Linked DNA regions of Rhinolophus ferrumequinum. The protein of the gene in region 3 interacts with the protein of the main gene of each other region in a pairwise test. Links are inferred from orthologs where the notes say so. Each region holds a gene or a part of one and is shown on either strand. Other genes may lie near its edges.

The links.
Region 1: the proteins of STK16 (region 3) and PLSCR3 interact in binary tests that used the Homo sapiens proteins (3 or more experiments, as listed by UniProt). The two-hybrid records come from large-scale screens. The link is inferred for Rhinolophus ferrumequinum from reciprocal best matches to the Homo sapiens genes STK16 and PLSCR3.
Region 2: the proteins of STK16 (region 3) and keratin-associated protein 13-1-like interact in a two-hybrid assay, tested with the Homo sapiens proteins (2 studies listed by BioGRID). The two-hybrid records come from large-scale screens. The link is inferred for Rhinolophus ferrumequinum from reciprocal best matches to the Homo sapiens genes STK16 and KRTAP13-1.
Region 4: the proteins of STK16 (region 3) and KCTD14 interact in binary tests that used the Homo sapiens proteins (3 or more experiments, as listed by UniProt). The link is inferred for Rhinolophus ferrumequinum from reciprocal best matches to the Homo sapiens genes STK16 and KCTD14.

Annotation. Positions count from the first base shown.
Region 1 is NC_046304.1:11,472,983-11,480,420, reverse strand, and holds the start of PLSCR3 (phospholipid scramblase 3), read right to left. Parts: upstream 3,035-7,438; 5' UTR 2,933-3,034; coding exon 2,651-2,932; intron 2,383-2,650; coding exon of another isoform or gene 2,147-2,382; intron 2,053-2,146; coding exon 2,010-2,052; intron 1,907-2,009; coding exon 1,686-1,906; intron 1,429-1,685; coding exon 1,267-1,428; intron 1-1,266. UniProt on the Homo sapiens protein: Catalyzes calcium-induced ATP-independent rapid bidirectional and non-specific movement of the phospholipids (lipid scrambling or lipid flip-flop) between the inner and outer membrane of the mitochondria.
Region 2 is NC_046285.1:96,956,940-96,963,192, reverse strand, and holds keratin-associated protein 13-1-like, read right to left. Parts: upstream 1,344-6,253; 5' UTR 1,249-1,343; coding exon 733-1,248; downstream 1-732. UniProt on the Homo sapiens protein: In the hair cortex, hair keratin intermediate filaments are embedded in an interfilamentous matrix, consisting of hair keratin-associated proteins (KRTAP), which are essential for the formation of a rigid and resistant hair shaft through their extensive disulfide bond cross-linking with abundant cysteine residues of hair keratins.
Region 3 is NC_046291.1:16,219,150-16,227,196, forward strand, and holds STK16 (serine/threonine-protein kinase 16), read right to left. Parts: upstream 3,256-8,047; 5' UTR 3,203-3,255; coding exon 3,117-3,202; intron 2,553-3,116; coding exon 2,333-2,552; intron 2,074-2,332; coding exon 1,940-2,073; intron 1,770-1,939; coding exon 1,649-1,769; intron 1,523-1,648; coding exon 1,427-1,522; intron 1,022-1,426; coding exon 900-1,021; intron 785-899; coding exon 646-784; 3' UTR 342-645; downstream 1-341. Other genes in the region: GLB1L (beta-galactosidase-1-like protein), read left to right, coding at 5,291-5,359, 5,539-5,705, 5,959-6,109, 6,291-6,351. UniProt on the Homo sapiens protein: Membrane-associated protein kinase that phosphorylates on serine and threonine residues. In vitro substrates include DRG1, ENO1 and EIF4EBP1. Also autophosphorylates. May be involved in secretory vesicle trafficking or intracellular signaling.
Region 4 is NC_046294.1:52,179,769-52,187,272, forward strand, and holds the start of KCTD14 (BTB/POZ domain-containing protein KCTD14), read right to left. Parts: upstream 3,045-7,504; 5' UTR 2,852-3,044; coding exon 2,789-2,851; intron 1-2,788.

The DNA.
Region 1 (7,438 bases), on a different chromosome or scaffold from region 3:
AAGTAGCTTGGCCAAGAGGGCAAAGGAGGCTGCTAAAATCCTGGCTGTACTCCACCAGCCAACCAGGCTCCTAGAAGATTGCCCAAAGGGGTACCCCTCCTCTGCAAAGTAGGGAGGGCCCTGTCTAGCACTGCATGGAAGCCTCAGCTAGAGGGGAGCCTTTACTGGGGGGAGAGGGCAGCAGTAAGTAGCCTCTGAGGACCACGATTTCCACTGGCGTCTCTGGGCCCAGCAGCAACAGGCCCTGCCAATCTAGGTGGTAATTCACAGTGATTCCCTGGTTCTTTTTCTATGCTAATTCTCTAGTGGCTAAACTAACATGATTTCCTTCTCTGCCCTTCCCATCCCCTTCCCCCACTGTCCTACAGTTCTGGGGCATTTCCTAAAAACCAGTCTGAAGTTGGGCAGGGCCTCTCCCAGTCAGCTCTCCCAGTCCCAAAAGTACAGCCCCAAATATGGACAATTCATAATTATGTAAAAGGGAGACTAGCCCCATGAAAACCCCAAAGTCTACACCTTCCCATCCAGAAGTCACCAAGTTATCTCTCTCAACCAGTTCCCATCACAGAACCTCCCCCCAGCTACTAAGGTGGCTCAATTTTTAAAAGTAACCTTAGGTAGGAGACCTCATCAGATATCTTGGCAAGTCTGGATTATACCCATTATTTCTCCCTTATCTGCACTGGTAATTATCCCTTAAAAGAATTCAAAGTGACTGTCTTCTAGAAACAAAGGTGTTTCCCAGGCCTCACCTTGAAATTGTCACCACTTGGGTTCTCCAGGCTCCAGTTTGGTGACAGGAATGCATGGTGAAAAAGATATCACCTGGATTCCAGGTTGGAGGGGCCATTTGGACTTCTAGGTTGGCAGGGCAAGCCACAGGATATTAACAAGTCAAATTCGTGCTTGCTCCAAGTCCTAAACTCACAAACTCATGCACAGCAGCCATAGATCCAGCCCATGGCAGATGAAATAATCCTTCACCCTAAATCCAGCCTGGCCTTAGATTTTTACCTCCTCAACATAGTTTGCAGGTAAAAATTAGCATTGGTCCTCAAAATGAAACCCTCTTTGTCATGCTTTTATAAGGCCACGGAGCCATTCTATTTCTGAATGGAGGACCCGAACACTGGAAATGTGGTAGGGGTCACAGTGGATTTGGATTGATGAGTTCTGGGTTTTGACCTTAGTATTAGCCGTCCTGCCTCATGGAAACTGCCATTTTGGTTTATAAAGGTCCCAGGAATCGCTCCTTATTCCTGATACCTCGAAGTTGGTGTCTGTGCCACAGCCACAGGTCCAGCAGGGCCCCACCACTCGCAGGACCGTATGGCGATCAGCGTCCTGGATGGAGAACTTAGGGAGGAAAGGATGCCAGGTCTGTAGCACATGGCCAATGGTGGTGCCGGGTGGAGCTTGTACTTCCATCTGGAGTGGGAAGCAGATAGGGTCACTGCTGAGCCAAGGCACCCTGACCCAAGCTCTCACCGCTACAGTTCTATCATCTGTCCCCCCTCACAAGACCTCCCATCCCTTTCACTAGACCCCCGTCATCCCCCTCATTAGACCTCCAGTGCCACCTGTTCACTCCCACGCTTCATGCGGGGACTGCTCTGCTCCATCATTGGTCCTCCCCATTATAGCCTGCCCCTTACCCGAACTTTGACCCATCCCTCCCCGCCCACCTCCTGGAGGCCACAGGGGCAGCAGCTGCAGCCACAGTGGAGGGGACGGAGCAGGCGCAGCACCTCTCGATCCCCGGGGTCCACCAGGCGGACACGCAGTGGCCGGCGGGCGCCACAGCACAGACGGGCACAGCAGTTGCTCTCCTCAGCTGCCTGACCCAAGGGCTGTCCAGCCCCAGAGCGCAGTTCATACCGGTTACTTGTCTCCCAGCCTAGGAGCACTGCCGAGGGGTGACACGCTGAGGCTCAGGTACCAGTACCTGCCCAAGAGACCACTATATCTGCCCCCCTCACGAGCCCCAACCTATTGGTCCTTCCACTCACTTTCCACTCGCTCAGCCTTCTGGTGAATCAAGATCTGATCAATCTGGAAAGAGAGTAGGAGCCACGCCCACCTCAGCTGGCCGGCTTGCAAGCCCTTGTCCCCTTCCCGTCACTCCTCCCTCCCCCTTCCCATTCACCTGCACCAGGAATTCCAGGCCAGAAGGCACCCCAGGCAATGGCAAAAAAGGGGCAGCAGGGCCCGGGGCAGCGGGGCCGGGTGAAGGGAAGAGAGTGAAGCCGGGCGCAGGGGCAGGCACGTGGGCAGGCACTGGCGCCTGCCCGGGCCCAGGATGCTGCGCAGGGTCCGGGTACCCAGCGGTCACAGGGTAGGGAGGTGGGGGAGAAGGGGCGTAGCCTTTGGGGGGCAAGTAACCTGTGGAGGGACAGGGACGTAGATTAGAAAGGGTTTCACGGCCTCATCCCTTTACCTCTTAGCCCACAGGCAACCGCGAGGCTGCGGGGAAAATGTGATGGGAAGAGATTGAGAAAGATGGGGCGGGGGAGCAGGGCGGTGGCTGCCTGGGAGGAAGGGAGGGGCCCCACCCAGCCAGTCCGAGCACATTCCCGGAGGATGCATTCGACACCCAGCTCCCAAGTCCGTGGGGGGGATAACGGAGACCCTCGGCCTTGCTCCCACTTACCTGCCATGGGAAAGGGGCGCGAGTCCGCGGGATGTCGGTGTCCGGGAAGCTTAGTTCTAAAAGTGGAGGCAAGCTCGGAGACAGCCAGACAGACACAGAGACAGACACAAAGACGGACAGGCAAACGCGGAGAGGCAGCTGCGCCCGGCGCCGGCCCAGGGTCTCTTGGGCGGCGCCTCTGACTCGGGGAGAAACCGAAAGTGTCAGCGGGCGGGGCGAAGTACCTGGGACCCTGGATTCCCTCAGGGGCCCCAGAACCGCCCCCTCCCTTTGTTCTCCCATTTTCCGCGTAAGCGGCTGTTGGCAGACGGCAGGACAGATGGGCCCGCGGTCAGACCGACGGCCCGACCTCGACGGAGGTCTCCTGACCCCTCTGCGACCCCCGCTCACCTGAGGCCCTTAGAATAGTTGGGGTGCCCAGCACTCTCGAAGGCTCACAAGAGCTAGTGGAGGCGGGCCCAGGATCCGGCCCCGCCCCTCTACCGCCCAGGCCCCGCCCCTCCTGGCCTGGGCAGCGCGCCTGCGCAGAAAGGATGCTGGCTCTCCCGCTTGGCTACAGACCTTGCACTGCCGGCTCCTTAGCGTGGTCGACGTCCCCGCCTCTTCCGTTCGGCTGCAGAAAGCTTGAGAGGAAGTTCGCCCCGGGAGGGCAGCTGGCTGAGATCTAGCTCTGCGACCCCCCAGATCTGCAGGCGAAGGGTACTCAGTGCCGCTTGGTGGGTAGCGAGGGTAGCTAGTGCGGCGCAGGACCCCAGGCTCCTCCTCCCAAGGGCGGAACACCCTTCACACGCGCTCATGGGCTTGTAGGACAGGCGCCTGGCTCCCTCTCTACCTCCCTTGGGTTATCTCGCTCTCTCTTCTTGACGCTCTCTCTTCTTGACGCAACAATGACCCATACAGGTAGTACTTCCTTCAGGCGCGCCCAGCCTGGACAGGCTGCCAAATAGTGACGTTAGTGAGTGTGCGTGAGGTTAGGTACAGGGGGACCAGAGGAGGCAGCCCAGTCAGCAGGAAAGCGTTCCCCCAAAAGGACTCTCTTCTGAGTCCTGAGCAGAGGCCCCAGGTGTGAGGAAGTCCTCCTGTGCTTTGGCGGCCTATAAGCTGAGTGGCAAGAAACGACTTTAGAAAGGGAGGCCAGTTCACGGTCCCAGAAGGCCTACAGGAGCTAGGACTTGGCCCCAAGGGCAGCATGGAGCCCATTGAAAGATTTTAAGAGGAAGGGAGAAGGTCAAACTTGTGTTTTAGAAAAACCATTAATACCTTATGACCCAGCAATTCCACTCTTAGGTATCTATCCAGAGAAATCCAAAACTCTAATTCGAAAAAATTTATGCACCCCTATGTTTATTGCAGCGCTATTCACAATAGCCAAGACATGGAAACAACCGAAATGCCAATTGGTACATGACTGGATTAAGACACTGTGGTACATTTACACAATGGGGTATTACTCGGCCATAAAGAAGAATGAAATCTTACTATGTGCAACGATATGGATGGACCTAGAGAACATTATGTAAAGTGAAATAAGTCAGACGGAGAAAGACAAATACCGTATAATCTCACTTAAATGTGGAATCTAAAGAACAGAATAAATGTACACATTAATCAGAAACAGTCTCAGAGATACAGAGAAAAAACAGGGTTGCTAGATGGGAGGGGGGTGGGGATGAGGGAGAAGGTGAGGGGATTAGAAAGCACAAATTGGTTACCACAAGATTGCCCTGGGGACACGAAAGACAGTTTGGGGAATATAATCAATAATGTTGCAAAGACTTTGTAGGGTATCCGATGGACACTTGTCTTTTTAGGGAGACCACTTCATGGACAGTGTAGGTGCCTGACCACTGCAGTGTACACCTGAAGCTGAAGCTGAATAATAATGAATGTCAACTATAATTTAATATATATGTATATATGTATATAGTCACAGGATGTGGAGTACAGCATAAGGAATAGACTCAGTGGAACTGTAAAGCTATATACAATGTCAGAAGGGAAGTAGATTGGGGGAGGGGGTTATCACTTTATAAGGGGTATAAATGTCTAGTACAGGGCGGCCGGTTAGCTCAGTTGGTGCTCTTAACAAGGTTGCCTGTTTGATCCCCACATGGACCACTATAAGCTGCACCCTCCACAACTAGATTGAAACAACTACTTGACTTGGAGCTGGTGGGTCCTAGAAAAACACACTTAAAGTAAATAAAAGTTTTTTAAAAAATGTCTCTATTACATTGTTTTGTACACCTGAAACTAATAAAAAAAGAAAGAAAGAAAGAAAGAAAGAAAGAAAGAAAGAAAGAAAGAAAAACAATTAAAACTGCAATGTGGAAAACAATGGTGGAGGCACCCAGGCTGGGTTGTTGGCAGTGGGCTGGGGGAGAGGATGGCTGTGGTAGTGCAGAGAGACAGAAGTGGCATATTTTGGAGGTACTTAGACAATACAGAATGTTTTCAGGGGAATTACATGGCAGTGAGGAGTCTGGGATGACCCCAGGTGCCTCTTTGGTGACCAGGCAGATGGAGGTGAAACCCATCAAGATGAACATGGGTAGAAGCTAATTTGGGGGGCTCCTTTACCCCATGTCCATGTTCCTCTGGGCTGGTCAGCTGCTCCCACAGCTTCAGTCATCATCTGCCTCAGACCAAGTGCCTGACCTCTCTCCTGGTATCCCTAAGTGCCTCAGATTCTACATGGCCTGCACCATGGACCAGCCTCCACCAAAACACATATACAGAAATTCAGTTATTCAACAAAGATTTAGTGAGCACTACTGTATGTCAGTATTTAAGGTGATAGGAATATATACCAGTTAAATAAAATTCCTGATCTCCTGGAGTTTATATTCTAGTGGAGAAGAGATAGATAATGCAAATAAAATACACCAGAAGTTAGATGGTGTCAAGTGCTATGAAGAATAAAAAGGACAGACAGTGGTGGGCAGGAGTTGCAATTTTAAAGAGGGTGGACTAGGAAGACATCACTAAGAAGGTGATAGTTAAGCAAAGCCCTAAAGGAGGTCAAGGATTGAGCCATGCAGACTTCTAACTGAAGAGTGTCTCAAGCAGAGGGAACAAGGGCAAGGGTCTTGAGGCAGAAGTGTGCCTTACTTGTTCAATGAACAAAAAGGAGGCCAGTGTGGCTGGAATAGAATGAACAAGGGGGAGGTAAGAGATGTCACAGGCCAGATCACATATGGCCTTGTAGACCATTGGATTATACTGAGTGATATGGGAAGTGTTGAAGGGTTTGGACAGAGAAGAGACACGAGAATTACATACTGAAAGAGTGGTCCTGAACTTTTGCCACAAGTTAGAATCAGCTGGGGTGCTTTAAAAAATACCTCTGCCTGGGCCCCACTTCATAGCAACTAATTTAGAATACGTGCAGACATAAGAACTTCTTGAGAATTCCCCAGCCAATTGTAACGTGCAGCTAAGGCCTAGGACTACTGTGTTAGAAGGCTCTCTGTCTCTCTCTCTGCCTTACCCAGAGTAGACTAAGGCAAAGGCAGAAGGAAGTTCTTGCTAAAAGCTAGGTAAGATTTGATGGTGGCTTGGACCAAGAGCCAGAATGGTAGGAACAGAGGTGGTGAGAAATGGTCAGATTCCAGTTATGTATTTGAGCCAACAGGACTTGATGATGGCTTCGGTATAGGATGTGAGGAAAAGAGAAGTTAAAGTTGACTCAGGCTTGGCCCAGGAGACTCTTCACAGTACAGGCTCCAACCTGACTCTATTTGGTCTTTTCCTGCTGCCCACTCCATTCTGAGCTCCGGACACTCCTGTCCTCCCTCTTGATTTGTTACTAGTATGATCTTTTCCCTTTTTTCTTGGTGAACTATGTATGCTGAAAACCCAGCAGGTGGATAGAAGTTTTACCAGTCCCCAATGGCAAAACAAGCCTACCTTAGTATCTACTTGTAACACTGAACACATTGTATCAAATTGTTTTAAAGGGTCTAAGTGGTATGATAATGAAGTTTGAGAATTTGTTACAATGATGTTGCTAACCTTTTTTGATATCAGAGGGATTATTCCTTATGAATTTGTACCAGCTGGACAGTTAACCAAGTTTACTATTTGGAGGTGCTGAAAAGTCTGCATGAAACAGACGAGCTGAACTTTTCGCCAACAATTCATGGCTCTCGCATCACGACAATGCGCCAGTTCACATGGCATGTCTGTGAGGGAGTTTTTAGCCAGTAAACCAATAACTATATTGGAACACCCTCCCTACTCTTCTATTCTGGCCCTCAATGACTTCTTTCTTTACCTGAAGATAAAGGAAATATTGAAAGGAAGACATTTTGATGACATTTAGTACATCAAGGGTAATACGGCGATAGCTCTGATGGCCATTCCAGAAAAAGAGTTCCAAAATTGCTTTGAAGGGTGGAGTAGGCGCTGGTGTCAGTGCATAGCTTCCCAAGGGCAGTACTTCGAAGGTGTCCTAGTGATATTCAGCAGTGAGGTATGTAGCACTTTTTCTAGGATGAGTTCGTGAACTTAATTGTCTGACCTCGTATGTTCCCTGATGAAATCTGAGTTTCTTGGTATGTACAAGTAGGAAAGAACTTAGCTCTGGGAATTGGACAGAAGAGAGTTTGAATCACAGCTTATTCAGGTCCTCGCTGTATGATATAGAACAAGTTACTGCACCTCTCTTTGCTTCACGTTCCACTAACTTGCAGGACTGTTGAGAAGACTGGATGCAATGTGCAGTAATAATAGGGACAGATTATCAAGCAGGCCTTATTTATCTTGGTTCCCTAAGAGCCCAGCCCA
Region 2 (6,253 bases), on a different chromosome or scaffold from region 3:
CCATCCCAGAGCAAAGCATCTGTCCTTGAAGTTGCATAAGCCTCATCTTGTCTCTTAACTGCAAGATCTTTACTCAGATACTAGACTTTTAGGTAAGTTTTCTGTCTATGTAAAACCTCACGTTAGGTGTTACATCATATTCTTGTTGTCTGCATTTCTAGTTGACGTACCAATTTCTTTGATTTCCTTTATCAGCAGAAATGCATCTCTCATTTTCAGGCAAATGTCACTGACAGTGAGAGGTGTGAAATATGGACCTCCTAGAAATGACTACTTCTAATGGGGAACATATACAATGTTGACAGAAATTTGCTCAAATCTATCAAATTGCATTGTGCCCAAATCCAGTTTCGAAGTCATATCAATCTTTACTTAAATCTTCCAAATCCTTGAATACAAAAGTTACAGGCAAAAAAGAGAGAAAACGGTAATAATAAGAAGAATGAACAATATTTTGGGTGCCAGATTACATAAATTTATTTGATGACAATTTTCATTTTCAATTGCTCTTCAGTGGAAATCCAATAACATATATTTTATCAATAGTACAGGTAGTAGGGCTTAACTTTGAGTTACCAATCAATTTCAGAGTCTGTCAAAAGTTGGTGATGCAAGATACTGATGATTTAAGAATAAAAGAATAGTGGTAACTGGTGACAATGAAAATGATCGCTGTACTGAGTAGAGACTTTGACCTCAAAACCAATAGAATCTGGGCCCTTTACAACTTGATCAGTAGAAACTGGATCCACAGGTTGGTCTATAACACGATGACTGGCAGCTCCTGGAGGCAAAGTAGGTTGGGCGGTAGAATCCAGACCCATAGCTCGGGGAAGGGAAGCCACAGACTCCATAACCCAGGGGTCTGAAGCCACTGGAACCACAGCTCAGGGAGTAGCGGCTCCTGGATCCATAGCCCAGGGAGCAGCTGCTGCTGGACCCACAGCCCAGAGACCCTGTGTAAGTTGGTGGGCAGGGAATGCAGAGCGTGGAGGTCCTTGGGCGGTAGCAGGACGTCTGGCAGGGTCTGGACACCGCACAGGACGTCTGGCAGCTGCTGGGCCCACAGTATGTCTCCTGACAGCCACTGTAGAGAGAAGAGCCCAGCTGGCATGTGCTGGGGGAGCAGCGGTCAGTGCTGTAGACTAGGTTGCTGGGGTAGGAAGAGCCACAGGAGGAGCCTGGGTAACGCAGGTAGCCTCCAAGGGAGCGGGAGGAGAAGTTCCCAGAGCAGCAGTTGTAGGACATGTTGATGGAGATGTGAATTCAGCTGAGTTACAGGAGACGATTCTGAGTTTGAATGTCACTTCTGGGCTATGGCATTTATATACCCTCAACAATGGGTGTGGTCCACTATGAGATCACGGTTTCTATATTGGATTTGCTCTTTTGCATAAGACTAACTCAGTAATTGTCTCTGTAATTGCGGTTACATTTGAATAGTTTTCCACATATTGTATTTATGGGTGCTATAATTTTGTTTTTACAGCCAAAGCCAATGAACTGCTCCTCTGTCAAAAATGCTATGACTGTTTTATACTAATGCATATCCCATCACGACCAGGAAAGCATCAGGGCCAAGAAAGCTTTTCCTCTGGCTTATGCTACCTCCATGTGCTTCCTATGTAGCCACATCTAGTTTTGCTGGAGGATGCTTTCCTCCTAAGAGTGGGGAATGAGGTAACATCAATTATGTTCTGGTGCAATGAATCCATTTCCATCAGAATGGGAGTCTTCCTGAAAATGATCCATCTTGTCACCATTGATTCCCATTCTCCTAAATGACTTGGTGTAATTTGTCATGGCAGCAATAGAAAACTAATACACCAAGTACTGCAGCTACACAGTGTGCCCCTCACCCAATGAAAAGAGACCAAAACTAGATAAAACAGACAGATGGCGAGAAACTGAAAGACACTTTGTCATGTATTTAAAGATGAGGTGACAAAAAAGAGCTCCACTGCAACAGCCCCAGGGAAGATCAGTCTGGGCCTCTTCCCAGACAGCCAAGAGGGACACACTAGCTTGATGAGGGGAGGAAACAACTGAAAGGGGAACACCGAGAAGGCTCAGCAATTGCAGATTTTTTTACTGCACTCCTAAATTGTGGTCCATTTTATCCCAATACTTTTATAACTAAAACTTTACAAAATTAGTATATTTTATGCATTTTGATATGTTTTCCTTTTCATCATCTACATATATAACTATCCAAGGCTTCTATCACCTTATAATGTATCTAGCTTTCCACTGCACAGGCTTTGAGTGACTTTCTGGCTCCTGCAGAGAGCCAGGTACCGCTCTGCATTTTCTTGCCTAAATCTGAAGTTCCTTTTCTAGTTCTCTTTTCTTCTGCTGTATACAGACATATCTTTCTCTCCCTCTTTCCCTCTCTCCCTCTCTCCTCTCCACCTCTCTCTCTCCTTACCCACCAATTTTCTTTTCTGTTTTTTCTGGGTTTAAGTTTATTTTGTTTTGTTTTTCTTGTTTGCATTGCTATTTATTTTTTGCTTCTGCTTAACTATAGTTTCAGTTTTAAAAACGTTTGTTAGATTTACCATATTCTTAGAGCACAACCAAATGCTTTCTAAGTTCATTCACAAAATATTCAATGTTTATGCAACCAGTTAAATTATATTCTGGACTGAATGAAACGTACTCTCATGGCTGATGGAAAGAGTTTCTTACAAAGCTGTAACAAACTTACAAAAATGATGTTAAATGTATAAAATTTTCTCAATAAAATCTATAGCAATTTTAAAAGTCACTTAATGTAGACCTTCTAGAAGGAACAGAGGAAAGAAGTAAATGCACCCAATTCAAATAGGTAGTGATGAGTCCTTTATTTTCTATTCTTCAAGACCAGAATTCATTTCTCCTTGCTTTGTGCCTCAGCAAGTAGATAAACTGTCCTATTAATATAACACTGTAGATGCTATTCCTTCCCCATTGTTTTTTTCTGTTTTAAAACACAACTCTTTAAGATTATCTTGATATTGGTCAAAGGGTACAAGATTTCAGAATAAATAAATTCTAGAGATCTAATGTACAGGATGGTAACTACAGTCAAAAATACTATTAATACTATTTTGTATCCTTGAAATTTGCTAAAAGAGACTATCTTAAATGTTTTTACCACACACACACACACACACACACACACACACACACACACAAATGTAATCATGGGAAATGATTGATATGCTGTTTAGTCTCATTTTGGTAATCTTTTCACAATGTATACCTATATCAAAACATAACATTGTATAGCTTAAATATCTACAACTTTTATTTGTCATTTATCCTTCAATAACACTGGAAAAAAATGAAATAATATTGATGATAAACCTTAAGACTTAAACAGGGGACACAGATTTATTAGACAAAACTGGGGAATGTAGTGAATTTGTCTTCAATTACTTGTCTCCTTGTTTAAGGATCCTTTTCTGTAAGATCCAATCTTCTCTTCCCTTTGCCTCTAAATCTAAAAACTTTGTCTACACTAAGTTAGTATGAATTTAAGAAGAATTTGTACTCCCCAACCTGGGACTGAATTAAACTCAAAGATTATATTTTTTTTGTTGTATATAACATAGACCTCCACCATTGGGTCTTCTCCTTCTTCTTCTTCCTCTTCCTCTTCCTCTTCCTCTTCTCCTCCTCCTCCTCCTCCTCCTCCTCCTCCTCCTCTTCCTCCTCCTCCTCCTTCTTCTTCTTCTTCTTCTTCTTCTTTTTTGACTGAGTTACTTACCAACAATTAAAAATTGAGATATTTGACTTAAAACTTATCACTCTGGTTTGTACATCCAGTGGCTTCTGATTTTTAGAGTGCAGAGTGCCATCACCAGACTATAAACAAAATAGTTTTGATATTTGAGGTGTGTTTCCAACAGAAACTCATCTATAGTTGCAAGTTACAACTTTTGGCACCTACCTACTAATTACCAATTACCAATCAATTTGTCACTCACATGTTGGGCATCTTGCTTTTACTAGTCATCTAGGGTGCAGCTTAATAAACAAAAGCCAGTATTTCTTATATAAAATTTTTTTCAATCACTATATAGTATTATTAGCCAAAACACATTTTTTATTACTATACGATATAGATTAGAAGGCTTTGAATTCTGTATTCTTAAAAATACATTTGCTGGACAAAGTTATCATGGCTGCTTTTCCTAAATGTGCTGCACGCAATCCTAAGGCACATTTCTCTCTGTAATATGGTCTTGGTATTTTTCCCTAGGGATCTTTTAATTAAAATTGTATAAGGTGGAGAAACACTGAAGATTTCTCAATGAACATATTAATGAGGCACCTGATATGTATTTTTCTATAAAATGTCCAGAAACAATGGCTGAGAACACGAATTCAAATGCAAGTTGTTTACTTGACCGGTGAGCCTAATAAATCTCTGTTGGGAAGTGGGACAATGTGACGGAATGAAAGGTTGGCAACACAGGGTACATCACTAAGCTAGGTACCATGTAGAAACTGGAGCTCAGTTCTCACAGAGAATTCCCTGCACAGGAGCTCTTGTGAAGTGAAAGGTCCTTTGGCAGAGTTTTACAGATGTCCCAGAAGTGTACAGACGAATACCCAAGGGACATAGGCAGGGTGTTGACAGCTTCTACTGGGGATGGGTGTCACTTAGAAAAGCAAAGATACCATAAATATGGAAAGGAATACCATGAGATCTAGAAAGATAAAATAAACTGAGAAAAGCAGAAAGGTACGAAAGCTCCTGGTGATTTCAGGCCATACTGAAACACAGTATAACACCAGTACATGTGGTATGGAAATGGGAGACAGAATTAGAAAACCTGGACACCCACGATGGCAGCTTTGGAGTTTTCTGAATTGTGGTGTCATCTACCACCATTGAAACAACAGGAGCAGACTTGTAAACGGTCAAATGATCATCTTCGCTGCAGCCACTCACTTATTTGAATCACTCCTATGTATTATAAAAATAAATAAATCTCTCAAAGTTACAGAAATTTAGCAAGTTAACATTGCTTAAAATGTTACACCAGTCCTCTCAAGGAGACTAGAAAAGCTAGAGAAAATTAAAAAAATAAGAATCTCTCTTTGAAAACTTCAAAGAAATACGCAAGCATTCTAGAGTCATAGAGAGTCTATGCCCTATAGGGAGTCTGGCCCTATAGGGGCCAGAACTGAAGTCAAAAGAAATGAGCCTAGATCTGGACTTGCTGGTCTCTTCAAGTTATGTTGATTTTGAAAGTAGAGACTAAGAGGCTGAGGGAATTTTTATAAACTCACAGAGCTAGAGAAACAAAGTTAGAATTTGGGGCCCACCAAAGAGTTGGGACGGTGGAAAATAACCCAGACATTGGAGAGCCAATTTCTAGATGTAAACTTGAATTATTAATAGACAACCTCTTATAAGGGCTGATGCTTCGGTTTGAATTATCTTAATTTTATTATTATTATTATTAGTTTCAGGTGTATAAAACAATGTAATAGTTAGACATTTATACCCCTCACAAAGTGTTAATCCCCCTCCTCCAGTCTACTGCCCCTCTGACATCACACACAGCCCTTACATTTCCACTGTCTCTATTCTTTATGAATTATCTCAGTTTTTGATTGAGTTAAAATGACCAAGGCTGCTGGTGTCCTTATTCTAGCAGCCTGCCAGAATCTTAAGTAAACCCTCTCTAGATGAAGGTGAAATCATCCAGATACATACATATTAATCAATCAATCAATATTTATTACTCAAATATTTATTACTCTCTCAAAATATAGTAGGAATACAAGAAAATAAGACAAACACAAGAGAACACCAGAAAATAGAATCTGAAATACACAATCCATGCAACGGACATGTCAAAATCACACATTAAAATACTTATGTTAAGAATTTAACGATAGGAAATAGGAAGAAATATCAAGAAATAGTAATGTTTAAAGAATTAAGGGCAAGATTGAGAATTTTTGCAGAAAACCAAAAACCATAGAAGAGAAATGAACTGAAATTTTAGAAATTTACAATATAATAACTGATTTAGAAACCTTAATGTGTTTTGTTTTTTTTTTAATTGGGGAAGGGGAACAGGACTTTATTGGGGAACAGTGTGTACTTCCAGGCCTTTTTTTCCAAGTCAAGTTGTTGTCCTTTCAATCTTAGTTGTAGAGGGTGCCGATCAGCTTCAAGTTGTTGTCCTTTTCAGTCTTAGTTGTGGAGGGCGCAGCTCAGCTCCAGGTCCAGTTGCCGTTTTCTAGTTGC
Region 3 (8,047 bases):
ACCGGCTGGGCTGCTCTAAGCTACCCACCGCAGAGGATGAAGGGAAGAAAGAACAAGTTTAATGTAATGTGACTAGGGGACCCTGGTGCCCGTTCTTGGCATAGAAGCCCACTCAAGCCAGAGCAGCTTTAAGTGTTTGACTAAGACAAGCCAGAAGAACTGCCCACTGCCGACCAGCCATGTCGAAGGTAAGGATTCCTGCCTTTGGATGTGGAATGAAGTCACACCATTCCTGACTCGATGCCAGTCCCTCTTCTTCCCGGGTTGTTTCCTTGGAAAAGGCAACCAGGCTTTGGGCCCCTTGCGCCTTTTCTCTCATTTCAAGAACAACGAGACTAAGATCCACACCAAGGTGTTTTCACTTTATTCTATTTATACATTCTCCTGCTCCCAGATTTGGAGGCAGACCATGATGTAAGCTCAGCAGTCCTGCTCAGAGCCTTTACCAGATTCCATCAGTTTCCCTTTCCCCATCCCCCCACCCTCACCCATCCCATCAGACAGAAGACTGAGCTAACCCTCTCCAGCCCCCCTGCCCCCAACTGCAAGAGAGCAGGCCTGGATAGAAAAGACAGATTCCAGTGAGGGATGGGGCCCTCTTTCCAAGGCACAGGGGCCACCTTCTCAATGTGGCTACTGGCTTGTTCAGATTTGGGTAGTATGCTGGCCTGGAGCTGGGGCTTGCAGTGCCTCCAACTGACTGAGGAGAAGAGGAATGTGAGGGCGCTGGTGGGGGTCCACAGTCATCATGGAGGCCAGCAGCTGCCGCAATGCTGAAGAATGCCTGTGGAGAGAGGAGGGCAGGGTGATGGGGGGTGCACCCACCCCCCATGCCGAGGCGCCACCCCTGCTAATATCAAGGAGAATCTGAAATGCTTTGTGCCCCTTCTATTGCTCACCTGGGACTTTCTGGGATGCTGAGTTGGTTCTGTACAGCAAGGGCTACACTGTCACCCTTCTGGAACACCATGTCATAAGGGCCTTCCCCAAACATCATGGCATATAGCACACAACCTAGGGACTGAGCAGAACTTAAGTTATTCCATGGAAGGGGACCAGTGGAGGTGATATCTCTTCTCTTAATTCTGTAGTGAAATGAGTCTACATGAGCTAAAAGGAGTATGCCAACAGCCACATGACACCAGCAGGGCCCAGAGAAAGTGCCAGTTAGCGGGAGGCCTCTACACCGCTTACTTAGCCACCGCCTTCAGCCCTGACTTAGCTGTCCCAACCCTGTTCAAAGGGCAGGGTTATACCACTTCCTGAGCAATTGAGTACAGTGTCAGTGACAGTTCCCAGGAAGGAAGTCGAGGGGGATGGGGACACACATGGTTCCTGGGGCCCCGTGCACTAGAAACCAAAGACCTGCTCCTCTACTCCACAGGAGGTACAGAGCAGCATTCCTCCCCACCCACATGCTCCTCACCCAGACATCAGTCCGCTCATCGATGACACAGTGGCTCTGCACAGAGAAGAGCTCCGGGGCCCGGTAGGAGATGGTGCACCGCTGGGCTGCCCAGTCCTGGAACAGTGGCCCCAGAGCTCAAAAGTGGGGCATAGCTCGTGGTCATGTGACCAGAGTGGAGCACGCACCAGAGGGGTCAGGGTTGGGGAACAGGTGGGCAAAGGAACCTAGAGACTCTCTTACCTGCAGGGCCAGAGCCTGGCGGGAACTCTCCACATGGATGCATGCTTGATTCATGGAACCCAAGTCCATTAAAACCGGCTGCCCCTCATCTCCAAGCAAGATATTGGTGGGCTTCAGGTCCCTGGTGGCAAGTGGGAATGACCCATGAACATCCCCAGACAGGGCGGCTGGAATCCCAGGGGGCGAAAGAATCATGGAGGCTGTTCCTTGGGAGGAGAGCAGACCTCATTTTCTTGGTGGGGCTCTTCCTTTCCGCCCCAGAAAGTACACAGGCCCCTGCCCCCCACTGACCTGTGGGCATAGCCCTGGGCATGAATGGCTTCAAGTCCTCTGCAGATACCCAGCAGCAGCTGAAGAATTTGATCTTCAGTCAAGAAGTTGCCTTTGTCTTTCAGTCTTTCGATCTCATTCCACAGCGTACCTCTCTGCAACACAAGTATCCCCACAGCTGGTGTTTTCTGAGCCTCTGTTCCCTGAGTGTGATCCCTTCATGCCAAAAGCCTATCAACATTTCCACTACACACAGCTCATACCCCACAGTCCCACCTGGATTCCTTTAAAGCCCAAATCCGAAGTGGTCAAACCCAGGACATGGCCTCCGCTTCCTAACACACTTGACTGCTCACACAGCTCTTGGTAGGTGACTCTGTTGCAAACCCCTCCGTAGCCAGGAGACTTTCTGACCTTGAAGAAAGGTAGCAGCAGCCAGGCCTCATGTTTAGTGCCCCGCTCCCTCAGACAGTAAGCCACGAGGCGAAGGACGTTGGGGTGATGGAAGAGGCGATGCCTGTCTGCTTCACGTTGGGCTTCCTCCCGGTCCTGCTGCTCGTGACACAGGATTCGCTTCAGGGCGTAGAAGTGTCCATCATGTAACCCCTCCACTAGGTCCACATAGCTGAACCCACTGTGGGCCAAAGGGGTCAGTGAAGGACCACGGTCATCTCCCACACTGCTTGGACCCAGAGGAATTCCCTGGGGAGAAGACGGGGGTGTCTTTCCCATTTACTAGAAACCCTCCCAAGATGTAGCTCTGAGAGAAGTCTGAAGATCATTACACGTTAAGCTCAAGAGGTGGGACATAATCTTTGAGGTTCTATGATCATAATCCACTGCTCTGCACATGGCAAATGCTTAACAAACATTAAATGAATAATAGTCAACATTTATCAAGTGCTGTGAACCAGGCACTGGCGAGACATTTTATATGTATTTTCTCATTTAATCCTCACAGCTCCATCAGTGAGGCAAGACAGTAATTATCTCCATTAAGCAGACGAAGAAACCATGTCTTATCAAGGTCATACAAGGTGGATCTAGGAGGCTTGGCTTCCGAACCTATTTTCTTGACTAGCATGTCACTAGGCATGCTAAAAGATAGGTTAAGGATAAAATCTTTGTGCCCCTATCAAGTCAGACTGCTGTCCTCAATCACCACAACCCTGGGGACTAGTTATTGCCAAACACTCACCCCTCCCCCAGTTTCTGGATGAAGAGGTAGCGTTTATTGTCAATGATGACAGTTCCCCGAGAGCAGACACACAGCGCGTGGCCCATAGTGTCTCAGTCATCCTCCTCAAGGACCGACTGAGGCTGCCGAAGGGTTCTCCAGGTTGAGTGGGCTCTTCCAGGCGATGCGCTGGGGGCCCAGCGGATCATACTGGAAGGAAAAGAACAGCAGGGTCGCGGGTCGGGCACAATCCAGACGACCACGGAAGTACCAATGTGGGGAGCTCAGGCCCAGGTCTCGGAACCTAGAGAAAACGGGCCCTGGCGATACCAGCTCCAAGAAGGCTGGGATCAGGGGCCTTAAAAGCCTCAGGCCACGCAGCGACTACCAGACCGCTTGCTCCACCTTCACGCGGCTCGGGCGCCCACGCCCGCGGGGCCGCGAAGGCAGGGCATAGGGCAGTTGCGAGGGGGTGCGAGGCTCGGGCCCGTCCCTTGCAGAGCCCACCCCGGGCCTCCGCGCGTAGAGCGCAAGTAGGCCAGCTCGGCTCCCCCACTGACCTGGCTCAGGCGGAGAGAAGCGCCAAGGACCGGAAGCAGTGGTTTCATCATCATTCCGCGCCGTCTTAACGGCCCGAGGTATCTTAGCAACCGCCTGGCTTCCGGACGATGTGGGGGCGAGGAACTGACGGGGGTGGGGCGGGCTAGACCTGCGGGAGGACCGGTCCTAGGACCCGGGTGGAGGTTCCATACCTGGCCTTCAGGACGCAGGCACCTACGCCAAGGGGGAGCAAAGCCGGGCTCGGCCCGAGGCCCCCAGGACCTCCATTTCCCAATGCCGGAGGTAGGAGGCCTCATACCTCCGGAGCGCTGGGTGGCCGATTACAGTCCAGCCCGGGGTGGGCGGGAGGACGCAGGGAGGGGCGGGTGCTGGCAGCCTGGACACGGGGAGCTCTGATCAGTACAACCTTGGGGACTCTGGCCTGTATCCCTAGTCTCAGTGGTTAAGAGTTCAGGTTCTTGATGCAGACTAGGGTCTAAACCCGGCCTTAATAGCCTACTAGCTGTGTGACCTCGGACATGTTATTTAATCTGTCGGAGTCTCACTTTCCCTAACTGCAAAATACATATACTAGTACCTAAGATTAAGTACATGAACTGTGAGGCCAGACCGACTAGTTCAAATCCCAGCTCCCCTAAACTAGTTGTGTAACCTTGGACAAGCTACTTAACATTTCTGTCCCTCAATTTCCTCATCTGCAAAATGCAAATTGTAATTATCTACCTAATGGAGTTTTTTGAAGATTAAATGATATGTAACGTGCCTTGCACAATATCTGACGCGTAGCCCTTAGTAAGTGTCAATAAACAATACTAATTATATTAATACAAATTATTATTATTACCCTGGTTCTCACATCCCAGGCTTGGGACTGTGAAGACAGGAGTAATGGAAATTCACAAATTCCCAAGCCTTGGCACGAAGCCGCTGTGCCCAGCAGCAGCTGAAGGATTTGATCTTCAGTCAAGAAGTTCCCTTTTTCTTTATTCAATTGCCCAGGGAGGCAGGGAAAAATTGGAAAGGGGTGCACATCCAAAGAAGATGGAATGCCCTTGACGGTCTTTTTTCTGTTGAAATAGGGCTCTCCAGGAAAAAGATCCCTTTTATAACCTGCCCCCACCCCCTTCACATCAGTGGGAAGATCTTCCGAAGTTTCCCTTGGTTCTGAACCTGTTTTAGAGTCCTGGTTCTGACATTCATCTAGATGTAACCAGCTGTGTGCCGCCCACTGCTAGAAGCTGAGGATTTGGTAGACAAGGCACTCTCAGCCCTTTGGAAGCTCAGTCTAGCAGAGCACTGCTTCTCAATCTTGAACATGCTCAGGATCACCTGGGAATCTTGTTGAAATACAAATTCTGATTCTATAGGTCTGAGGTAGGACCTGAGATTCAGCATTTCTAACAAGCTCCCAGGAGACGCTGATGGAGCTGGTTCAAGATGTAGGGGATTAAAAAAAAAAAAAAAGATGTAGAGGATTTTACAAATTAGTAGAGTAGCAGGAGACAAAGTCCAGGCTAATCGCTTGGCAACTTGGAGTGGTCTCTGCCCCTCCTTGCTTGCTGAGATTCCCTCCCAGGAATCCGCCACGTGACAGTTGGACTGCCATCTCTGACTATAGGAGACCTGTAAGCGCCATGGTTCCCAAGAAGCCGCTCTGCCTTCCCTCCCTGCTGCTGCCGCTCCTGACGCTGCTGCTGCCCCAGGTAAGATAAGAGGATTGAACCAGCCGGCTGGGTGCGGCGAGGCTAGATCTGGCGTAAGAGAGAAAGTGAAAACAACAAAACAGTGGGCAGGGCTAGTTCCAACTCCTCTGCTCTTGGCAGCCGCTGACCGCAGCCCTCCAACTCCAGACCTCTGTAGAGCACGGTCTCTCCCTTTGCAGGCAGATACTCGGTCGTTCGTAGTGGATCGGGATCATGACAGATTCCTCCTGGATGGGGTTCCGTTCCGCTATGTATCTGGCAGCCTGCACTACTTCCGGGTACCACGGGTGCTTTGGGCAGACCGGCTTTTCAAGATGCGAATGAGTGGCCTCAACGCCATTCAGCTGTAAGAAGTGCTCAAGAGAGCCATGGAGGGGCGGGATTTACTCTTTTTGCCACCCCCTTAAGAAGGATGTTGGGACAAGAAGACTGGCGGGGTATCATGAGGGCTTAGAGCTCCAGGGCTTCCAGGCCAGGGAGGGAAAAGGTGGGCCAGGACCTCCTTCCTGGAGATAACCCTGCAAGACCTGAGCTCTTAAGCCTCCTGGGCATCTCCCCCGATGCCCGCCTTGGGCCCTGTTAACCTTTTCCTTTCTCAGTTATGTACCCTGGAACTACCATGAGCCAGAGCCTGGGGTCTATAACTTTAATGGCAGCCGGGATCTCATTGCATTTCTGAATGAGGCAACTATAGCGAACCTGTTGGTCATACTGAGACCAGGACCTTACATCTGTGCAGAATGGGATATGGTGAGTTAGTTGGAGAAGGGATAGACCTAAAGCCACCCAGAGTTCCTAGGCTCCTCCCTTCTGCCCACACTCTAGGGTCACTTTCAGCACTGTACTCAACTTCCTCCCTTCTTCCTGCCCCCATTCCACCCCCAGACAACAAAACCTACATGCTTCTTTGTGGTCTTTGTGTTTGTCTTAGGGGGGTCTCCCAGCCTGGTTGCTTCGTAAACCTAATATTCATCTGAGAACCTCAGATCCAGGTGAGTTGGGACAAAAATTTAACACAGAAAAAGCAAACAATGACAAAATGGGTCATTTGGATACCCAAAACAGAAGAGACCACTCCCAAATCAGTCAAATATTTATTCAGTGTTTCCTTCCTGCCCAGCAGGATTCTAGAAACTGAGGATCAGACAGACCCAGATCCTGTGCAATGGAGCTTATCATATAGTGGAAGAAACAGACTTTTTAAAGAAACCTGCAATATTATTGCAAGCTATAAAAATACCACACAAGAAAATGGACAAGGAGTTGACATAATAACAGAGAGGGCCTCTTTTAAGTAGGGAGGTCAGGAAAGGCTTTTCTGAAAATATAATATTCAGTTGACTCTCGGGAAGGGAAAACTCTGGTGATATGAAGAGTGAGGTAAGAATGACCAGGTAGAGGGGTGGTATATTCTGAGGCCAAAAAATGGGAAAGAACATAGCATGGTTGAGACCAGCATGGCTGGAGCATAGTGGGTAAGGGAGAGAGTAGTGTGATGTGAAGTTGGAAATAGGGACTATTGCTGCAAGACCTTGTAGGCCATTGTAAGGGGGTTGCATTTTACTCTTAGCATGGTAGAGTCATTAAGAGAGTTTAACCAGAGATCTATGTGAGATGATCTGATTTGTTTTCAGATTAGTTTAGCCTGGATGTGGAGAATGGATTGAGGGGAGTAAGGGTGGAAGTGGAGAAACCAATTGGGAGACTATGCCTGTAGTTGAGGAGAGAGATGATGGCTCCTAGACTAAGCTGATGGTGTTGTCAATGGAAAGAAGAGGGCAGAACTGAGATAAAATCACCAGGACTTGTTGATAAATTTCAATGGAAAGGGTAGGGGTGGGGGAAATGGGAGTAGGTCTGGAAAGAAAGGAATGAAGGTTTTGGCCAGTCAAGATGGTGGTTCCATCTCATTCAGAATATGAACTGTTCCTTAAATTATCTATTAGGTCCTGCTTTACCCTCTAAATATATTGTATTCACCTACTTTTCATCACCTCCACTGCCACCACCCTCGTCCAAACCACCTCTCAGCTGGATTATTTTAGTAGCTTCCTAACTGGTTTCCCTTCTTTGTCCCTCCCCCATGCAGTCTATTCTCAATCCAGCAGCCAGTGTGATCCTGTTTAAATATATTTAAATATCTATTAGATCATGTCATTTCTCTGCTTAAACCTCTCCAATAGGTTCTCATCTCATGAGAATATGAACCATGGATTCCTTACAATGGTCTTGGTCCTACAGTAATTGGCCCAGCCACCCCCGTGACATCTACTCTTCTCATTGCTGTTCTCCAAAGCCAGCAGGCGTGTGGTGCTCCCTCTAGCTTCTTGCAAAACCACCTTCTCAGTGAGGTCTTCCCTGGGCCACCCTCTAAAATGGAAGCGCCCCCACCCTACCACTTTATATCTTCCTTCTCTGCTTTATTTTTTCTCCTTGGCATTCACTCACTATGTATTTTACCCATTTATTATCTGCCTCCCTCGCTGGAAAGGAAATTCCACACTGGCAGAGATTTTTGTCTGTTTTGTCTTGTCCTCCGTCACTAACACCTAAAACAGTGCTTGGTGGATAGTCAGCAGTCATAAATATTTGTGGAATGAGATTTAATGTATGCTTGGATTAAAGAAGGCAGTAAAACGTGGACACAAACTATAAAAGGAATTAAATGTTTTAAGAATACAAAAATAT
Region 4 (7,504 bases), on a different chromosome or scaffold from region 3:
TTAAAGTACTGGGATTAAGAGAACCAAAGACAGCCAAACTCCTGGGGAGAACTGAGTTGCCATGGCAACAGCTCCTACCAGGGGACAGTTCTGCAGGCTGGAGGGGAGAAGGGAAAGGAGAGGATGCTCTCTGACAGCAGCCATACAATACACCACGAGAAAAATAAGCCCAGAATCTGTGACTCCCTCTTTCTCCCATAAACCTCAAGTGCCCTTGGGAAGGCGCTTCGGGTAACACTAAGGTCCCTCTGTACAGCTGAGAGTTAAATGCAAATTTGCAGATGTTGACCCTTGAATGAATCCATGTGCTCTCATCACTCATGTACTGCTGTAAGCTCAGAGGTGCTCTCAATGCCCCCACATTACAAGCGAGGGAAGGTCAGGAAAAAGGGTCACACACAGCTAGTAAGTGCTGAAGTCTGAGCTGGGACCAAACCCATGTCGGTCTGACTCCAGTACAGCATGAGTGCCCTATCCCCACCACTCCGGCATCCAGTCCCACTGTTGCCAATAATTAGCTATGTGCCTAGGACAGCTCACTTCCTTCTCTGGGCCTAAGCTTAGTCATCTATAAAATAGGGAGGCAAAATAGATGAAGAGAACTCTAAGTCCCTCCAGCTCTGAAAGTCTAACGAATCCAGTCACTTCAATGCTGTTTCTGAAGCTCGTTGCCAGATGCTTCACAAAATAGCTTCCTGCCCTAACATTCTCAGCCCCATTTCCTTGTTTATCAAATAAGACCTCTGTTCTGTTTCCAAGCTTCTTCATTCTGTCTCTCTTTCCATCCTTTTTCCCCAAAACTCCCAATCTCTTTGGAAATCCCAGATTTCCTACCTCATCCATAAGTACTACAGCATGTGTTTCTAGCAAATAAAGAGTTCTTTTCCACCCCTCGTCCAGATCACCTGCTCTTTCTTCCTTGTGGCATCTCTTCCTCACCTTTTCTACCAGTCACGCTGCTGAAGCATTCCTTGGTGGGAAAGCCCGTCTCAGGCCCTGTATACATGGGCTGGGGACACATGGTCTTTAGGAGCCCCTGCTGGGTGCCAGGCCAGTGCTGGCCATGAGGACACAGGGATGAATCAGACATGCTCAGCTCTCACCCAGTTCTAGTCTAAAGGATCCCTATACATCTGCAAACCCCCTGCCAAACATTCATACATTTCCTTAGGTCACCCTTAGTGAAGTCAACGGAGGGACATCTCCATTCCTATGTCCCTCAAGATCTCCTCCTACCCCACAACCCTGACCTTTTCCATTGTTTCCTATCTCAGTTTTCTGAGCCAGAATCCCAGGCTGGGCTATGATCTTACATTCTGCTTCCATGCTGAACACCCCCCAGACACACACACAAAATCAGTCACCAAGTCCTAAATGCCTGATTCCTGTAGTTCCATGACACCTTGCTCCCCCCAAGTACCCTCCTCCAATCCAATCTATACTCTGAAACCAGAGTAGTTTTTCTGAAGTGCAAATCTGATGATCTGTCACCCCCTGCATTAAACACTTCAATGACCCTGTATTCCCTTCCAGATAAACTCTAGACTCCTTAACAAGATTTACAGGCCCTTTGCAACCCTGGCAATCAACTACCGGAATAGGTTGCTGCTCCCCCACCCCCACCCATCCACAGCAGGCTGGGGCCACTTGCAGCCCAGGCTTGCTTCACTTAGCCCACTCATCCTTCTACCTAATTCCTCCAGGAATCTTTCTAGATGGGTTGTCTCTTTGTGATCCCAGAGGGCCTTGTACTTCCACTGTCACGGTAGTTACCTATCTTGTAATTCCCTTTACATCTGGATCCCCCTTTAGGCTGTGCGGTGCCTAAGGAAGGACTATCCCTGATTCATCTTTATGTCACCAGTACCTACTGCAGGGCCCAGCAGTAGGTACTGGTGATGCTCAGTAAATGTCTATTGAATTGAATGGAGCTTACTTGGCAGCACCGATTTACAGAAGCACCTGGTATTCTGACAAAGGTCAATCTTGCCCTACCTGGCGTCATGCACCCTGCTGGTTCCCTCTCTTGCTGGGTAATTCATTCGGACATTTATTGAGCACCTAGGCAGCCCTGCCACTGAACAGGTGACTTTGACAATAGTCAAAACAATGACGTTATCATCGCCCTATGGGAAAGAACCACGGTCTCCCCACTGCTGGATCTGCTTTCCCTTTCTACAAGTCTTCCCGATGGCACCTAGCCCAAGACAGATCAGAATGCTGTACTCCTAGAGCACACTGGGCCTTTTCCTGATCCTCCCCCAAACTTCCCTCACCCAAGCCCTGGGAGGGGGCAAGCCAGCAGGCTGACTCAGGACCCAGCCAGAGGGCTGGGCAGGCTGGAGAGGGTGGGGGTTTGAGGGGTGAGGGAAGGATACACTGGCAGCCTTTGGTTGGGTCTGCGTCTACCCCGGGCAGGAGGGATGGGAGCAGGGAAGGGAGAGAGACAGCGGAAGAGAGGTCACCTAGGACAAACCAGGGAACAGAGAAGACACACACAGAGCAGCTAAAACAAAGACCAAGAAAAGAAGGAGAGAAACTAAGGCAGCCGACCAAGAAAGAGGGCAAAGACGAGAGGCTGGACAGAGCCTGAATGGGAACTGAGACCGTGGCGCGGAAGGAACAGCCGGGAGGGAAAAAAGAAGGCGGGAGGGAGAAGGCGCACCAGAAGCGGGAGCGGGGACGGGGGCGACTGACGGGGATTCAGACCCGAAGGGAGGGACGGACAGAGTGAAAGAAGGGAGAGGCGGCAGGACAGGCTCCCGCCGGATCCGGGCTGTGCACTCACCGTCGGCGGGCCCGCGGGGGCCGCCTGCTGCAGAGGGACAGGCCTCGAGGGCAGGTTCATCATCCTGGCCTTGCAGGCAGCTGGCACTGCGCAGCCCAGCCGCCGCTCCGCACCCCGCCTTCTGCACCCCGCCCGGCCCGCGGGATACTTGCGGGTGGCGGAAGTACACCTGCTCCCCGCCCTGGGGTGGGGGAAGCTGGTCTCAGGGTGTGGGTAGAACCTAGGAGTGGCGTGGGCTGCGCCTGGCGCCTGGCTTCGGGGGAGACCCTAGTCTAGCCTCTTCCTCATTCTCACCCGGGTGACCCCGACAGCCAGATGGGGGAGGCAGAAGGAACTGACATTGAAAGCAGGAGACTCTATTCACCACAGTCCTAGGGAGTGAAGATCACCAACATCTGTTTTACAGATGAGAAAAGTGGGGCTCCAGAAGTTGGGGTGGCCAGTGTGGGCTATTTACCCACCTCAGATCAGCTGCTAAACGTGCAGTGTGACCCTTGATGAAAAGAACTAAGATATCTCTTGTGTGGTTATTTTGCTTGTTAAAACTGTGAAAATTACTAAAGGAAACCTCAACTAAAATTGAAGTCGGAAGGGCCTGTACTGGGAGTTCTCAGGCTTTACTACTCATTTATTTATTATTTTTAAAGATTTTATTGGGGAAGGGGAACAGGACTTTATTGGGGAATAGAGTGTACTTCCAGGACTTTTTTCCAAGTCAAGTTGTTGTCCTTTCAGTCTTAGTTGTGGAGGGCGCAGACTCAGCTCCAGGTCCAGTTGCCATTTTCTAATTGCAGGGGGCGGAGCCCACCATCCCTTGCAGGACTGGAGTTGAACCAGCAACCTTGTGGTTGAGAGCCCACTGGCCCATGTGGGAATCGAACCGGCAGCCTTCAGAGTTAGGAGCATGGAGCTCCAACCGCCTGAGCCACAGGCCGGCCCAGGCTTTACTACCCATGATCATTTACCTCCAAACAGGGAGAAAGGATACCTTGGATTTCCAACAGGAAGATTTTCTACTTTATTACCATAGTGGGTGAAAGGAAGATTTTTCTCCTTGCATGGCAACACCTCAGCCAGTGAAAAGCCACTATACTTACAACTCCCAGTTTCCTCCAATAGACTCTCTTTTTGGAACATCCCCTCCCAATTCTCCCTTTGCTCTGCAAGGGAAAGGTCTTCTCCTTTGTTTTTTCAACGTGCCTATGGTTTTGCCATAACTTGCCTGTCCTACATTGCCGTTCTTTGCTGATCCCAAATAAACCCATTTTTTTTTTTTTTGCTGATAAAATAACTGACTTTTAAAAAAAATCTATATCAACAACATATAACCCTAAAAGAGGGGAAGCATAACTCCCTACTCTTAAAGTATGGGCTGTGCATAATGACTTTCTTCCAAAGAGGACAGTATGAAAAGGCAGCAAAAGAAGAATAACTTTACAATGGAGGAAGCTGACAAACACTACTTCAGCCAGATGTCAAAGTCAATATCAAGTCATAAATCATGACTGGTAGTATTTAATTTTTTAAAAAATAAATTTTATTGGGGAATATTGGGAAACAGTGTGTTTCTCCAGAGCCCATCAGCTCCAAGTAGTTTTCCTTCAATCTAGTTGTGGAGGGTGCAGCTCAGCTCCAAGTCCAGTGGCCACTTTCAATCTTTAGTTGCAGGGGGCACAGCTCACCAGCCCACGTAGGAATTGAACCGGCAACCCTGTTGTTCAGAGCTCGTGCTCCAACCAACTGAACAATCCGGACGCCTGGCACTTTACTTCTTTGATCTTTCTTCTAAAAACCCGTAACACCAGTCTAATCACGAGAAAAACATCAAACATATTCCAATAGAAGGACATCCTACAATATACCTGACCAGTAATTCTCAAAACTGTGAAGGTCATCATCAACAAGGAAAATCTGAGAAACTGTCATAGCCAAGAGAAGCCTAAGGAGACATGCTAACAACTAAACATAATGTAAGTTGGTATCCTGGAAAAGAAAATAGACATTAGATAAAAACTAAGAAAATGTGAATAAGCTGTTGACTTCAGTTAATAATGATTCATTAATTGTAACAAATATACCGTACTAATGTGATAGCTTAATAGGGGAAACTGAGGGTAGGATATACAGGAATTCTCTGTACTATCTTCTCAATTTCTCTGTAATCTAAAACAGTTCCTAAGAAAAGCCTAAAAATTTTGACTCAGTAACAATACAATTGCTGTGGAAAACAGTATGGAGTTTCCTCAAAAAATTAAAAATAGAACTATCATATAATCCAGCAATTCCACTTCTGGGTATATAACCAAAAGAATGAAAGGCAGGATCTCAAAGACATATTGGCATACCCATTTTCATAGCAGCATTATTCACAATAGCCAAGAGATGGAAGAAACCCAAATGTCCATCAGTGTATGAATGGATAAACAAAATGTGGTGTATATGTATAATGGAATGTTATTCAGCCTTAAAAAGTTGGGAATCCTGTTCCATGCTACAGCATGAATGAACCTTGAAGACATTATGTTAAAATAAGCCAGTAACAAAAAGACATACTGTATGATTCCACTTATATGAGATATCTAAAGTAATCAAATGAATAGAAGGTAGAATGGTGGTTATCAGGGGCTGGGGGGAGGGAAGAAAGGGAAATTTTTAAATGGGTATAGAGTTTCAGTTTTGTAAGATGAAAAAGTTCTGGAGATCTGTTACATAGCAATGTGAATACATTTAACACTACTGAACTGTACACTTAAGAATGGTTAAGATAAAAAAAAAGAATGGTTAAGATGTAAATTTAATGTTATGTATTTTTTACCACAAAAAAAGAAAGAAAAAATGACTTTTGGTTATAAACTAATAAACTAATGGTGAAAAAACTTGGAAAAAATAATAACAATAATAACCAACCAGTATCTGGTGAAGAAAGATAAAGCTTTGGAGAGAGATAACTGGGAATGGGACCTGGGAACCTGCCATTTACCAGCTATGTGACCATCCGTTACTTCCCCTCTCTGAGCTCTAGTTGCATCTTTTGAAAAATACATGGGAGTACTGAGTTTGCTGGGTTGTTGTGAGAATTAAATTAAGTGAAATAATCTATCACGTTTCCCAAACTTCCCTGATGCTAAGACTCCACGTGCTTGTTAGACACCATTCTGGAACCCCACCTCCAGAGTACTGAAACCAAATTACCAAGGAAGGGCCTGGAAACCTGTATATTTAACAAGTATCTTGTCATCTTGGAAATTTGGGAGACACTAGAATGATGCATTTACAAGGCTTTCTTAGAGTGGGGCTCCGTGAATATCAGTGCCCATTCCTTCAGACTCTATGGCATCACCCATCCAGAATCACCCCATTCAGCCAAAGGTACCTTTCCAATCTCTTCTTCCCCCTCCTCCCCACATGGGTTGTCACTTCATTTATTCAATCAAGAGTTACTGACAATCGCCCTTGGCTAGGGGTTGGGTGCTGGGGACACAGGTACCTGAGACACGTCTCTGTCCTAAAGATATGGGCACAATTAACTTTAATGAAAAGTAAATGAATGTATGAAAATATGTTAGGCTTTTGTTTCCAACAATATGGAAGGTGAGATATCCTCTTGCTACGAAACATCTCAAAACATTGAATGTGTGTATCTCTATGTATGAGCTGACGGGGAAGTCAAGGAAATGCTATGAGGTGCTCTGCATTATTGAGCACTGACTCTACCCACTTCCCTGGGGTTACCTCCACCGCTGAGTGTCCTAGAACTTTTATTTTAAGGGGAGAGAGTAGGAGACAAAGTCTGGACCATTCTGGACAGGATAGGATGTCAGATCAGAGACTATAAAAGGATAATTTTTTTTTTTTTAATGCATCAAACAAAGGTGAATGCTGTGGAAGCTTACCTGTCTCGTTCCTTGGTTCTGGGTGGAGGAAAGTCTCCCCTGAAAATGTTTGGCTATATACTAGAAATCAAATAGATCTGGAGGCCAAATATTCACTTTTTTCATCAACAACAGCAACAACAATCAGAAATTTAATTTAAAATGGACCAGAGTTGGTAGTGCCCCCAGATGACTGACAAAGAAAATGAAAACCCTTCCTGGAGGGAGTGCACAATCAAACCAAGCCTCAAAGAGTCCACACAGATAACAGTCCAATAAATGCAAGCTCATAGTCTAAAGTCACAAACCACAAAAAGAAACACAGTACCATGAGCAAGAGTCAATGGATCTATAAGCACCTCAGAGATTACTGGATATAGAATAGAATAGTATATAAGTGTTTAATGTGCTTAAATACAAGGGTGTATTTAAAACATGAGTGAAGAAGATATGATCAAAAATGAGGAGGCAGATTTGAAAAAAAGCCAAATAGAACTTCTAGAAAAGAAAAATTACTTAAACTTAGTAGGGTTGAGGACATGCAATCAAAGGAGAAATATTGCACTATTTTTCATCCATTATTTTGGCAAATAGTGAGAATAATAACAATATGCTAGGGGTGGTAAGGATGCAGGTAAACAGCTCCTCAAACTTAGCTGAGTGGAATGTGAACCTCTGTGATTTTTCTGAGAAAGTAATATGGAAGTATTTAGCAAAATAAAAAAATGCAAATTACCATTTGACCCAATATTTCCACTTTTGAGAATTTATCCAATAGAAATAAAAGCACTATTCTGAAAGTATACATGAGCAAATATGTTTATCACTGTTTTGTTTGTGGTGG